2 linked regions of the Ovis aries genome follow. The main gene of each other region encodes a partner of the protein of the gene in region 2 in a complex. Links are inferred from orthologs where the notes say so. Each region holds a gene or a part of one and is shown on either strand. Other genes may lie near its edges.

Region 1 (8,100 bases), on a different chromosome or scaffold from region 2:
TTAAACCACTGAACTGTAAAGGAAAACAGACAGACATAAGACCCCAGAGGAAATAAGTCTGCAACACACAGGGCTAATTATCTTTATACAGACAGTTCTTTACACACACAGACACAGAGTGTAAGAAAGTCACAAAAATCAAGAGAAAACAAAGATACAAACAGAAAATTTAAAAACTATAAATGACCAATAGTCAAATATGCTCAGACACACTCACATACCACAATTTTAAACAACAAAATACCAATTATCTTTCTGACAATTTTAAAACATTTGCAGTTAGAGAACAAGGGGAAAGCGGGCATCCTCATCCACTGAAGGTGGTTTCAGTAACTTACGCTGCTATTTTGGAAGGCAGTTTAGCAATATCTCTTTCCGCCAACACAGCTATTGTATGTAGTCCTCTTTCCTGGCCAATATGCTTAAAGTGTGAAAGTGTTAAGTCGCTCAGTCGTGTCCAACTCTTTGCAACCTCATGGACTGTGGCCTACCAGGCTCTTCCGTTCATGGAGGAATTCTTCAGGCAAGAATATTGGAGTTGGTTTCCACGCCTTTCTCCAGGGGATCTTCCCAACCCAGGGATTGAACCCAGGTCGCCCGCAGTACAGGCAGATTCTTTACCATTTGAGTTACCTGGGAAGCCCTCAATATGCATAAACCTACCTCATTTTCCTGAATGGTAATGATGAGATGCACCACATTTTATCAAAACTTAATCACACAGCTTTGAGACCCAGAAATTCTTCTTGGAGTTTACTCTCTAGGTATACTCACAAACTCTCAACAATAATTGCAGAATTGTTTTGTAACATATATAAAAGCCAGAAACAGCCTAGATGTATACTAGTGGAATAATTAAATGCTCTTTGGATCAAAAGGCAAAAAAACCAGCTCAGGAATCTCAAAGACCCTGTGTGATTTGACCAACCCCCTCACCAGTGTCATCCTTCACTCTACTTTTCAGTTTTCCAGAACCACTCCAGTCCTTCTTTCTGCCTCAAGATCTTTTGTCTGTTACGGTGCTGGCGCCCAGCCCTACCCCTTCTCCACCCAACTATCTCCTTACATCCTTCAAGCCTCCACTGAAAGTCACTTTATGAGAAAACAACTTCCCTGCTCTTTCAGGCTAGGTTCAGTGCCCCCTAACAAGCCCTGTTTTTCTCCTTGGCTCACACTCAAAGTGAAAGGATTTGTTCAGTGTCTGACTTACCCTCCAAATCTTGGGCTTCCTCAGAGTGGGGCCTGCCTTGTTATCCACTACATCCTAAGCCAATAGCGCCTGGCATACAGTCTACTCTCCTCAATGTGAGTACATTAAAGCTTGAAAAAAGCCGACTCTATTATAGAAAATATTTCAGATACATGTAGGAGGTTGAAGAAGTCAAAAAGCACATGTTCTCACTGGCTATGTGGATTTTTCAGGCTTGCTTTTCACTGTTCAACTTGACATCAAGTCCATTTTCTAAAAGTGGGCTTGCTAGGAAGGCTGTCTGCTAACACTGAACAAGTAATCTCCCCTTGGGTGGTTTTAGCTTTTGAGGACAAGAATGTTTTCCCATCTTTGCTCTGATTCCTCTTCTGAATTAAGATAATGCCTTAAAAATAAATCCACAAGTTACCTGTCCAAAGCACCCCAGATTCAGACAGCCTTGTTATAGTTTTAGATCACAAATCATATTCAGAGCCATATCAACTTACAGTTGAATTGGATCCTAAGAGAAACTGAAAGCTAAAGCATTTGGACAATATCAAAAGAGTACCTAATGGATTGAAGGGAAAGAATTTTTCTATTTCTGGATAGGTGTCATCTGAGGCAGGAACCGAAGTTTTTGCTTTAACAGTCTTCTCAGTAATCTAAAAAAAACCCAAGAAAACATCCATTTAAGAGTGGGAGCCTTGTCAACTGATTAGTACATGAGATTAGAGAGATTCTTCAAGACATGGGATTGCTTCATCATATTTTAAATTTGTTTTCAATTTCTAAGAAACCATAATCCCTCATTCTCAAAATCACATACAAATACAATTCAGCAATCAATTATCATGGCTCAAAAGGTAAGGATGAAATACAAGTATTAGCACCTGTTAGCATAAATCATCAAAATACAGAGCAGAGTCTGTTTTTAGTCGGTAAGTCGCGTCTGACTCTCTTGCAATCCCAAGGACTGTGTAGCCCACCAAGCTTCTTTGGACGTGAGATTTCCCATGCAAAAATACTGGAGCGAGTTGCCATTTCCTTGTCCAAGGGATCTTCTCCACCCAGAGATCAAACCTGAGTCTCCTGCATTGCAGGTGGATTCTTTACTACTGAGTCACCAGGGAAGCCCCAGAGTAGAGTTAATTCAGAGCTAATTGACTCAATCGCCCAACCTAACCTAATAGAAGAGAAAATGGGCATAAATCACCCAGAATAGAAACTAATCCTAGAAGCCATTTTTGGCTTTTGGAAATGTGATTTTCCATCAGTGTTACCTAAATTACTGGGTTAATATTAAAAACCAATTTGTTTTCCTCAAATACACAACACTGAGTAAGAGGCAGTCAAAGACAGTCAAGGACTTTAAGATGCCCACCGTGGATAATTCTCTAGTCTGGAACTGGTAGGCAGTCCATGATGGTGGTGGGCCAAAATGGAAGCTTGTAGCGTCTTGATTTATTCTCACATCACATGTGCATGCCTAGAGGAAATTACTAGGACAAGGCTTCCCACATTTCAGTTCTGTCACATTCTCATCATTTTTGCTATATCCTTGCAATACTTACACTTAGCATTTCTCTTACTCAACTCAGTTTTTTTTAAAAAGACATCTTTATCCTAAAACCACACCTAACAGTTTGACATCAAGTATACTAGTTGTTTTTTTCCTAATACACATTGAAACAATTACTGAAATGCAGTGCTAATTCACATGCTGAAGTCATCTTTCACAGCCAAGTCCTCTCGGTCTAGGATGCACTGCCCTACAGTTTGTAAACACATGTACAAAGGTCAACATGCTACCAAGTTATAACCTACAAAGCTAGTGCTTGCTCTGAAAGGAGGGGAAGAGAATGGCAGCACCTGAGCTGTTATACTAGCATCATGACTTCTTGCAAAGTACCCTCTCTCACAGTACTCAAAAGCTTCCCTGGTGGCTCAGAGGTTAAAGTGTCTGCCTCCAATGTGCGAGACCTGGGTTCGATCCCTGGATCAGGAAGATCCCCTGGAGAAGGAAATGGTAACCACTCCAGTATTCTTGCCTGGAGAATCCCATGAACAGAGAAGCCTGGTAGGCTACAGTCCACAGGGTCACAAACAGTAGGACACAACTGAGCAACTTCACTTTCACTTTTCACAGTACTCACTGGTCTGTTTTAAGACACTTGTTAAAGACAGGTGAGGCAAAAATATTAACCAGCTGCTCCTGATACATGTGATCTCAAGGTACAGAGAAGTCAATAAAGACTGTATGATGATTCTCTTCTGTTAATCTAATTTGCTAGTCTCTATTTCCTTCCATTCACAGAGGAGAGTGTCAGGTAAGATGCCAGTAGTCATTTTAAGAGTCAAAGTGCTTTAGTCTTTAATTATAGCCAACTTTTACCTTTTTGGTAGAGAAAGTTTTCTGTTTCTGTTTGAGCGGTCCATCCGTCTTAACTGATTTTTCTGTAGCTCTGTTGACAGTTCCCAAAGCCTTTCTCGCAGTTTTTGGTAAAGCTGGTGGAGCATCAAACATTTTGCCAACACGTGGTGTTGAAACCTGAGATCTCCCATCCAAAGCTTTGACTGCTAAAGAAAAAGTCTTACCATAAGATCATTCCAGCAGTAAACACCTGTGCAACTTGAAAGCTGACTGTGCCTATCAACTTGGCCTAATTCTCACAGCCAAACTTAACCCCCATTTTTGACAGTGGCATGGTCCTATGCCTAACACCATTTCAGTTCACTACTCTCTTAAATAATCTCTTTAAGATACTGAACATGAGGGCTTCTCTGGTTTCTCAGTAGTAAAGAATCCACCTGCCGATGCAGGAGACGGGGGTTTGATCCCTGATCCAGGAACCCCCACATGCCACAGAGCAACTAACTCCATGTGCCACAACTATTGAGCCCACGTGTCTCAACTGCTGAAGTCAGCATCCCCTAGAACCCATGCTCTGCAACAATACAAGCTACTGCAATGAGAAGCCTGGGCATCACAAATAAAAAGTATCCCCTACTCATCGCACCTAGAGAAAAGGCCAGGTAGCAATAAAGACCCAGCACAGCCAAAAATAAATAAATAACTTAAATTTTAAAAAAAGATACTGAACATGAAGAGACCCATAAGTACTCGGCAGTAAGAGTATTGGGTAAACTCGACTCCCACTGGGCTTCCCAGGTGGCGCTCGTGGTAAAGAACCCGCCTGGCAATACAGGAGATTTAAGAGACTCCGGTTCAATCCCTGGGTCAGGAAGATCCCCTGGCGAAGGGTATGGCGACCCACTCCAGTATTCTTGCCTGGAGAATTCCATGGACAGCAGAGCCTGGCGGGCTACAAAGTCCATAGGGTCGCAAAAAGTCGGACATGACTGAAGCGACTTAGCACGCACGACTCCAACTGCCCACAAAGTATATTTGGGCCTTCCCCAGCTCCAAGCCACACCCACCACTGATTCACAATACCTGTGTACCTGATAGCCGCCTGTATACTTACAAGGCACAGACCCCAGCTTCAGCCCGTCCTTAGGAGCCACATGGCTGCCTGGTTCTCCATTTTCCTTATCAACATAGATCAGAGTAGCCATTCTGGATCAACTAGAGGTGTGAAACACTCGTTAAACCTTGGGAGTTAGGGAAGATGAAAGAAGCTAAAGTGTAGCACTGACCCAACTTTCTACCCTAGGGACATCTACGCAAAAACAGGAGCTAAGCAGAGGTAGAAGCCGGATCTTGAGCCAACAAGCATTTAACCCAGCTCTTAATTCTTGACGCCTGCGTCAGGGACCCTAAATTCCTTAAGAGTTGGCGGTCTGGGACTGGCACAGGCCCTGGTACTCATTGGAACCAAACTGCCGTGGGTCGCGTACGCAGTTCAAAACCGTGGCTCAAGCCAGGCGAGCGCGTCTGACGTTTCAGGGAAGTCCCAGCCCCCAAATCCCAGGCCCCGGGTCCCAGACACCCGGACCCCGGTTCCCAGGCCCCGAACGCCACACACACACAAAGCCTACTCCCGCTTCCTAAGCCGCCGGACCGTGCCCGCCCAACCACTCGGTACCGCTCGGTTCACCCACATTCGGAGTAACAGCCAAACTCTCGCAAGACTCTTCTCCACCGGACGCGCCAGACTCCGCGTTTAAACCACAACTTACACCCCTATTGGTTCATCCATCCAGGAGGCGGGACAGGGGCGGGGCGGAGGCTCCGGAAGAACCAATGGTAGGAACCTAAGCTCCCTGGGCTCCGCCCTGAAAGCTTTTCCCGGCAAGTTCTTCGTTTGTTCCCCGGGAGGAAAAAAAATCAAAGCCTCTCACAGCTTGGTCGTGGATGTCTATTAATGGTTGTTTTTTAATCTCCCCCCCAGAGAGATAGAGGAGAGTAGGTACAGTCTTTAATTCCAAGAAAGTTATTATTAATGTTATACCAAAATACAGAGTTGGCTTTTGCGATTTTTTTTTCCCTGAGACTCTTTGGTGTGCGACGTGAAAATGAAAGTCGCTCAGTCGTGTCCGACTCTGCGACCCGATGGACAATACAGTCCATGGAATTCTCCAGGCCAGGATACTGGAGTGGGTAGCCTTTCCCTTCTCCAGGAGATATTCCCAACCCAGGGATCGAACCAAGGTCTCCCTCATTTTGAATTGATTCCTTTATCTTGTTTAATATATTTCCATTTACCATAGAAGGGCTTCCCTTGTGGCTCAGCTGGTAAAGAATCTGCCTGCAATGCGAGAGACCTGGGTTCTGTCCCTGGGTTGGGAAGATCCCGTGGAGAACGGAAAGGCTACCCACTCCAGTACCCTGGCCTGGAGAATTCCATGGCAGTCCATGGGGTCGCAAAGAGTCGAATAGGAGGACTGAGCGACTTTCACTTCACTTTACCATAGAAAGGACCTCCCTTGTGGCTCAAGTGGTAAAGGGTCCACCTACAACGCAGGACCCCAGGGTTCCATCCCTGGGTTGGGAAGATCCCCTGGAGAAGCGAAAAGCTACCCACTCTAGTATTCTGGCCTGGAGAATTCCATGGACTATCCATAGGGTTGCAAAGAGTTGGACAGGACTGAGCCACTATCACCTCACTTCACCATAGAAAGGAAAAGGTCACCAACTTTTTAAAGCACAATTTCATTATACTTTAATTTCATTGCAGGCGGATTCTTTACCAGCTGAGCCACAAGGGAAGCCCAAGTCTTTGGTGTCCAAGACATTTTTAAATGAGAAGATAGTGAACTTCAAAAAGTCAAAGTGAGATGGTGACAGAACTATTTTCCTAAAGTCTTGAAGTAATCAACTGTTTTTCCAGAGAGTAGATACACCGGATCAAATTAAAAAGAGGCAGCACGGGAGGAAAGGCATTGTAGTCATTGGGGAAATGACTATGGAAGATGAATTTCAAATTAGAGGTATAAAAAATACATATATAGTCAATAAATAGTCAGTGGGAGGAAAACCCATATTAGATCTAGAGAATATTAACAGAGCACAATTAAACATTAAGAAGAAATGAAAGTACAGATAAAGTGGCAAGTTTGTGTCATTCTGTTGTGTTTGTGATTAAGAATGGAGTGATTCTGAAACTAATACAATATTGTAAGTCAACTAGACTTCAATTTTTTTTAAGTGTACTGATTTTTTCCTAATTGCAAGACTATCAGTATTTCAGGCTAGGATGCTATCTCCATTATACAGAATCTGTTGTTCAGTTGCTCAGTCGTGTCTGACTCTTTGCAACCCTAGGAACAAAACAATGACCTAAGAGTACACAATTCTGAACTTGAAAGTCTATCAGTTAATAAGGACTTTGTTTTTGGCTGCGCTGCGCAGCATTCAGTATCTTAGTTCCCCAACCAGGGATGGGACCTGTGCCCTTTGCAGTGTAAGAGCAGAGTCTTATCCACTGGACTGCCAGGCAAGTACCAATATACTTACTTTAAACCTTTAACATCTCAACAATATATTCATCAAAGCTGGTGGGGAAGGACAGAAGGGTGAACAAGAGAAAAACAACAGAGGAATTATAAAGACATACAAAATGAATTCCAATTTCCAAGACATGGAGAAATTTTGCTTTGAAAAGTTAGTGACCTTTTCCTTTCTATGGTGAAGTGAAGTGAAAGTCACTCAGTCCTGTCTGACTGTTTACAACTCCGTGGATAGTCCATGAAATTCTCCAGGCCAGAATACTGGAGTGGGTAGCCTTTCCCTTCTCCAGGGGATCTTCCCAACCCAGGGATCGAACCCAGGTGTCCCGCATTGCAGGTGGACTCTTTACCAGCTAAGCCACAAGGGAAGTCCTTCAATAGTAAATGGAAATATATTAAACAAGATAAAGGAATCAATTCAAAAGACCAAGGATGATCTGTGCCATCCAAACTCTACTCCCAACAGGTCACCAGATACTTTTTAACTTAGCAGGAAAGTTGGGAGGGAGGAGTTAAGCCTACATTACTCTTTCACCAAAGCCTTAGCACTACAACTGGCATAGATATGTTTCCAAATATATACCAGTTCATTGTCCCTTCTTCCCTGGCATTTCAGGGCCAAAACATTGAATGGCTCATTCATTCAATAAATATTTATTAAATGTTAGTCACTGTGCTAGACACCAAGAGGAGGAAAAGTGCGTATCTTTTTTGCCCTTTCCATATCCTCTTTTATCCCTAGTTTATTAGTTCAGTTCAGTCACTCAGTAGTGTCCGACTCTTTGCAACCCCATGGACTGCAGCACGCCAGGTTTCCCTGTCCATCACCAACTCCCAGAACTTGCTCAAACTCATGTCCATTGAGTCGGTGATGCCATCCAACCATCTCTGTTGAACACTTCTCCTGCCTTCAATCTTTTCCAGCATCAGGATCTTTTCCAGTGAGTCAGTTCTTTGAATCAGGTGGCCAAATATTGGAGCTTCAGCTTCAGCATCAG
Region 2 (6,436 bases):
ACCTTGAGCTGGGCAATGGACGTGGACAAGAACTCCACCTCCTACAGAGAACAGGAATGAGGGTCAGGGTGGGGGCTCGCGGGAGAAGCGGGCACTGCCAGAGAAGGGGCGGGTCCTGGGACGGGGTGGGGGTTTCGCCTGGGAAGGGAATTCTCCCCAAGAGGGGAAGAGTGGGGGGCAAGGAAGTACGCGCTGGGGGGGAAGGGAAGTGAGGCGGGAAAGGGGTGCTTTTGGAGCCTATCCCCACCTGGTCCAGTTGGTTCTTCAGCATTTCTAGCTGCGGCAGATTCAGCTCGGTGATGTTAACCGACTGCGCCATGTTGGGAAGGAGGGCTTATGAAGCGGAAACCCTCCGGGAGAGCAACGCTCTAGCCGTCCTCTGCGTATCTCGATGGCTACGCCTGGAGGCCTCGCAGTGCTAGACGTCTCTATGGTCCTTCAACCCAGAAGAGAAGGAAGCTCGCGGCGGGGCGGAGGGTACGGAATCTTCGGCGTGACTTCCGATGGAATAGAAAGGGCTGCGGCGTTTTCTTTTCGCAAAATATCCCAAGCCTCGCATAATCAAGTTCTAACGAACAGGATTCTTATGCTCAAGAAACTTAATCTTACTCAGGCCTTGGGACTTCCCTGGTGGTCCAGTGGTTACGAATCCGCCTGCCAATGCAAGGGAAAGGGGTTCCATCCCTGGTGCGGGAAGATCCTACATGCCAAGGATCAACAAAGCCCCTTGTGCAGCAACTGCTGAGCACAGCTCCTGCAAGGGGCAGCTACTGAAGCCTGGGCGCCTAGAGCCTGTGCTCGGCAACAAGAGAAGCCACCGAAGTAAGTCCACACACCCACTATGAAGTGTAGCCCCTACTCCCTGCCACTAGAGGAAACCCGCCCAACACCATAACCACAGCGGTGGTATAAACCTGGTGACAACAGGCAAGGAAGAAGCTTGGGAAGTTCTAGGAGCAACGGACAGGAGGGACAGTAGCATTATGAAAGGGATGCTTCGCGCAGATGAAGCCAGAGTCTGGCGGTTGAGAGAACAGGAAGGAGGCACGTTATCACCCACAGTACAGCAGTAGCTTTATTAATCAACACAGTGTTTTACCATGTGCTAGAAGTGAAGGATCCATGAGTGTAAGATACATAGTTCTGAGCTTAACAATCTAGTTGGGGAGAGGAAAATCATACATAAGTCGCAAAACTTCCCAATGTGTATGTGTGTGTGAGTTGTTCAGTCGCGTCCAACTCTTTGCGATCCCGTGGACTGTAGCCAGCTAGGCTCCTCCAGGCAAGAATACTGGGGTGGGTTGCCATTTCCTTCTCTGGGGGAATCTTCCAGACCCAGGGATTGAATCCAGGTCTCCTGCATTGCAGGCAGATTCTTTACCATCTGAGCTACAAAAACTCTCCAGAACCTGCTGCTAAAGTGCATGGCACTGACAAGCGTATTAGCTGAATGTGGGGGAAGGACAGTATCCACTTAGGAGGGGGCAGGGCAACTGAGGCAGTAAAGCTAATGTCATTCTGAGGATACCAGAGGCAGGAAGTCAAGATAGATATGAGTGTACCTGGCCAAGACATTCTCAATGGATCTATCTCTACCTTTCCTCAGGGCTTTGTCCCCACTTAGATCATTTTGATGCCCTGCTCTCCTTTAGCTTTGTCTGCTGAGGCCAAGCCAGGTCCTGTGGTTCGCCTTTCTTCCCAATGCTCTCAGACTTGGACTGTTGCAAGTTATTCTTATCTATAGAACCATATAGTGGGAAGTGGGCATCTTATCTTCAAATGTTCTCAGAGAAACTACACAAAACAGGATTTTAAGTAACGTATCTTTATTATATTAAAATTAAATCAAAACGAAATCTTTCATGTAAAACACTGGGGAAAATCACTTAAAATATTTATCTTCAGGGCCAAACCTAAGTTTGGAGGTAGAATAGTCATATAGCTTCTATCGGCAACAGGAGAGCTCCAAGGAGTCACTGCAGGGAGACAGGCAAGCCATAGGCTACAGGTGCAGCCCCAATAAGGTACTTGAGTCGCGGAGCCTGGCGGGCCTGGCTGACATAGTACAGAAGGGGGGCTCCTGAACCTGCTCTAAGCCATCCCTGCAACAGAGCCTCTGTGTAGCGGTCAATGTCACGGTCAGTCACGTCCCAGAGGTTACCTAGAAACAGGGGGCTGGGAAAAGAGAGGGAAGAAATACAAAGTAAGGGCTCAAAAACGGAACCTAGGGCAGGCATGATTTGTGGTGGTGAATGAGTTGAGAGGGATTAAACCAATGAGAAAGCCCCTTGGCCCATAGTTCCAGGAGGAGGATAGATGATGACAAAGGGGTAAAAGCCCAAGTATGCCAGGGAACTAGGATGGGAGGAAAATGGGGCACAAAAGAGCAAGGATTTAGAGTTCAGACCTGGGAAAGCACTTGGGGTCAGGACCTTGAATAGATTGCCCCTCGAGACTCACCAGCCAGCCATGATATACTTGAGCACAATGCCAGCCCCCTCCAGGTTTCCATGCACAGCCAGGGCTGCGCTGCTGCAGCCGAACAGCAGGGTCACTGCCCGGCAGCTCAGCCGCAGGACAGCCTGCCCATCCAGGAAGCGGGCACCGGCGCCATGCCCTGCATAGCTGAGGCAGAAGGAGGTGAGATGAAACTGACCTCACAGGGCCAGGCCTCCAGAGTTGTCCAGAGTCAGTCAGGGGCTCCAAAGCCCCAGAGCAGACCGTGATGATACCCACCCTCTGGGACTGTCCCTTTCCCCACCTCCCTGCCCTGAGCACTCACATGTACAAGTCACGCTCCGTCAGGGCCGTTTGCACCTGTTCCGGGCTTGGCACCTCCCCAACCACCCCTTTCCAGCCAGCTTCACTGCAGGGAAAAGGCAGTGAAAAGGGACTTAGCTGGAGGTGCAGTGGTTAAGACTGCACTCCCAGTGCAGGGGGCGGGGGATCAATCCCTTGTCGGGGAGCTAAGATCCCACACGCTGTGTGGTGCAGATGGGTCATGTGGCAAAAAGGGCAGAAGGAACACTGGGAAGGAGGTGGGCTGCAACATTTGATTCCAGAGAAAAGGACATTTACTCCTGTGTTGCGTCTACCGTTCCCCACCACCCTTCTTACTCTTCTCCCCCTGACCTGCTAAAATGGGCTCGGAATTGCTCCTCTGTGCTTGACAGGTTATTGTGAGGGTTCAGGACGTAGAAGGTACTTCGAGGATCCACTCCTTGGCTCAGCACTGATGAGGCCCCGGACTGATGGAGATCCCAGTGATCAGCATCCCAGTTTGGTCAGAGCACCCAAGCTTCAAACAACCCAAGTCCCTTTCCATTCTTAAGACCACCTTCCTCTCTTGCGATGTCTCTCTGCCTTTTCTTGTCCAATTACCCATCACTCCCACCTTCCATTCCCGGAACCCCACACCTCTTTGATGACGGAGTAGCTGAGTAGGAATCGGAAGGAGGGCAGCCGAGTGACAGGCAGGGCCCGGAGGCTGGGCATGCTCTCCCACGGCAGCTTCTGTAGGTCCTGGGCAAAAAGCACTCAGACATTACTGTCCTGAGGCAGGGGTATGCAGGAGGCAGGAGGAGCATGGTTGAGAGGAAGTGCCCACTGCCCACAGATGCTACCCATGTGGCCCCTGGCTCTTTACCTTGTCCAGCACTAACACGAGATGCCTACTGCTTGTTGCCATCTGACCTTGGAGACGCCCTACTGCCTCACCCAGGAGCTCTTGGGCTCGGGCTGGCCGGGCTGGGCACAGCCCATAAGCCAGGGCCTGCACGTCCTGCGGGGTGAGGGTACTGGCACCGCTGAGCATGATCTGCAGGGGACCAGTGGTCAGTGAGTACAAGAGCTCCCCTTTCCACCCGCAGTGGCAGGTGGGAAAGAGGCAAGGCGTACTTCATCCTCTTCCCTGATTTCTCAACTCACTCTCAGCAGAGTGGGGTCGGGATATTTCCAGCCACATTGCTGTAGTGACTCTTGTAGACGGGAGGCCTCCTGGACAAGGCCAGGGTCCTCACTGGATGGCAGCAACAGCCCCCGCCAGCAGCCCAGCACGTACTTCTCTAGGGAAGTGGTGAGAACCTGGATGCACAACAGAACCGTCAGTGAGGGAAGAAGCCAAGTTTCTCTCCCCACCCTCTTGGAGACAAGGAAATGCATCTTCCAATGAGTGGGTGTGTCTTATTTATCTTACAACCAACATAAAAGGCAAGAGAGAAACATTTTTCATTTGCTCAGACTCTAAGAGAGTATTGATAAGGTAAGATTTGTAATAAATCACTACATTTGGATAAATACAAACAGGTGGGCAAAAGCTAAGTCAGGAAATGAAATGAAAATTATGGCTGGGAGTCTGATGTGCTGCTGTGCTTAGTTGCTCAGAGGTGTCCAACTCCTTGAGACCTCCTGGACTGCAGCCCGCCAGGCTCCTCTGTCCATGGGGATTCTCTAGGCAAGAATACTGGAGTGGGTTGCCATGCACTCCCCTGGGGAATCTTCCCAAACCAGGGATTGAATCCAGGTCTCCTGCATTGCAGGCGGATTCTTTACCGTCTTAGCGACCACCAGGGAAGCCCAAGAATACTGGAGTGGGTAGCCTATTCCTTCTCCAGGGGGTCTTCCTGACCTAGGACTCGAACTGGGGTCTCCTGCATTGCAGGCAGATTCTTTACCAGTTGAGCTACCTGGGAAGCCCTGGGAGGCTGATATTTGGCCTTAAATTCTTATTTTGTACTCATCTTTAAACATTTCATTGCCAAAACCCCTTCAAGTCTTCGGCTCTTGTTTATTTGGTTTTGTTTTATTGGTTTTTTTTGTTTGTTTGTTTTTGCTGCACCACATATATGTGGAATCTTAGTTCCCAGACCAGGGATTGAACTGGTACCCCTAGCAGGGGAAGTATGGAACTTTAACTGCTGGACCGCCAGGGAAGTCCCCTTGTGCTCGTGGTTCCCAAGTAATAATTTTTATTTAGGCCTACACTTCCAGAAACAACAGTTAGAACTGGACAAGGAACAATGAACTGGTTCAAAATTGGGAAAGGAGTACGACAAGGCTGTATACTGTCACTCTGCTTATTTAACTTATATGCAGAGTACATCATGTGAAATGCCAGGCTGGATGAATCACAAGCAGGGATTAAGACTGATGGGAGAAATATGAACAACGTGAGAAATGCAGATGATACCACTCTAATGGCAGAAATGGAAGAGGAACTAAAGAATCTCTTGATGAGGGTGAAAGAAGAAAGTAAAAAAGCTGGCCTCAAACTCAACATGAAAAAAATTAAGATTATGGCAAACAGAAGGGGAAAAAGTGGAACCAGTGACAGATTCTCTTCTTGGGCTCCAAAATCACTGTAGACGGTGACTGCAGCTATGAAATTAAAAGAGGCTTGCTCCTTGGAAGGAAAGCTATGACAAATCTAGACTGGGTATTAAAAAGCAGAGATATCACTTTGCCAACAAAGGTCCATACAGTCAACGCTAAGCTTTTTCCAGTAGTCATATATGGATGTGAGAGTTGGACCATAAAGAAGGCTGAGTGAGAAGAACTGATGCTTTCGAATTGTGGTTCTGGAGAAGACTCTTGAGAGTCCTTTGGACTGCAAGGAGATCAAACCAGTCAATCCTAAAGGAAATCAACCCTGAATATTCATTGGAAGGACTGATACTGAAGTTGAAGCTCCAATACTTTGACCACCTGATGTGAAAAGCCAATTCATTGGAAAAGACCCTGATGCTGGAAAAGACTGAAGACAAAAGGAGAAGCAGGTGGCACGGGATGAGATGGTTAGATAGCATCACTGACTCAATGAACATGAATCTGAGCAAACTCCAGGGGACAGTAGAGGACAGAACAGCCTGGCATGCCATAGTCCATGGGGTCGCAAAGAGTCTGACACAACTGAAAAACAGCAACACCTCCAGAAAGGACTTGAGGTAGTTCAGTACAGACCTAGGATGGACCCCTGAGAGAGGAGATATTCTAGGGCAGGCCCAACCCCATCCCACACTGGGAACACACACCTCCATCCTGCGATCCAGCTCTAGCCGGCCCGTCCACCATTCTCGCTTGTCAGTACAGCTGCTGTTCTCTTTCTGCTCCTTCTGGATGGCGTCAAACTCTTTCAAGGCCGAACTCACAGAAAGCTTTGGAGATGGGGTTGTCTAAGTTCTGCTTGTCCATGTGACCACCATCTCTCCATCCCCCAGCCACAGGTAGACCAGAAGCCTGCCCCAGCCCAACTCTGCTCCCTGACCCCGGAAACCTACCTTGCTCTGGGAAGTGGGGATCTGTACAGTGACCGGGGGTTTGTCTTTCTCCAGCCGAGTCAGCAGGAGGGTGTTGCCCACAGTTCCAGGCTGGAGGGTGGCCAGGGCCAAAACACACACGGTCACCCCTGGCACACAGGACATGTCCTGAGTTATTTCAG

Evidence for each region. The genes of interacting proteins can lie anywhere in the genome.
Region 1: the proteins of ESPL1 (region 2) and PTTG1 are in contact, whole or in part, in a cryo-EM structure (PDB 7NJ1), measured with the Homo sapiens proteins. The link is inferred for Ovis aries from reciprocal best matches to the Homo sapiens genes ESPL1 and PTTG1. Residues at the interface, in NP_036423.4 of Homo sapiens: His402, Thr405, Val406, Tyr409, Ser461, Asn462, Tyr465, Tyr468, Arg505, Arg508, Glu512, Glu544, Thr547, Phe548, Arg551, Gln590, Lys593, Ala594, Val595, Arg596, Thr599, Gly600, Arg603, Gln634, Cys637, Tyr638, Trp683, Ile686, Glu690, Ile697; in NP_001269311.1 of Homo sapiens: Tyr111, Pro112, Glu113, Ile114, Glu115, Lys116, Phe117, Phe118, Pro119, Phe120, Asn121, Pro122, Leu123, Phe125, Glu126, Ser127, Phe128, Asp129, Leu130, Pro131, Glu132, Glu133, His134, Gln135, Ile136, Ala137, His138, Leu139, Pro140, Leu141.

The regions. Positions count from the first base shown.
Region 1 is NC_056058.1:69,563,564-69,571,663, reverse strand, and holds the start of PTTG1 (securin), read right to left. Parts: upstream 5,293-8,100; 5' UTR 5,181-5,292; intron 4,779-5,180; 5' UTR 4,769-4,778; coding exon 4,678-4,768; intron 3,770-4,677; coding exon 3,585-3,769; intron 1,855-3,584; coding exon 1,761-1,854; intron 1-1,760. UniProt on the Homo sapiens protein: Regulatory protein, which plays a central role in chromosome stability, in the p53/TP53 pathway, and DNA repair. Probably acts by blocking the action of key proteins.
Region 2 is NC_056056.1:133,206,580-133,213,015, forward strand, and holds the end of ESPL1 (separin), read right to left. Parts: intron 6,404-6,436; coding exon 6,276-6,403; intron 6,153-6,275; coding exon 6,030-6,152; intron 4,084-6,029; coding exon 3,928-4,083; intron 3,818-3,927; coding exon 3,647-3,817; intron 3,523-3,646; coding exon 3,418-3,522; intron 3,249-3,417; coding exon 3,133-3,248; intron 2,867-3,132; coding exon 2,783-2,866; intron 2,626-2,782; coding exon 2,461-2,625; intron 2,176-2,460; coding exon 1,974-2,175; 3' UTR 1,810-1,973; downstream 1-1,809. Other genes in the region: PFDN5 (prefoldin subunit 5), read right to left, coding at 1-41, 248-319. UniProt on the Homo sapiens protein: Caspase-like protease, which plays a central role in the chromosome segregation by cleaving the SCC1/RAD21 subunit of the cohesin complex at the onset of anaphase. During most of the cell cycle, it is inactivated by different mechanisms.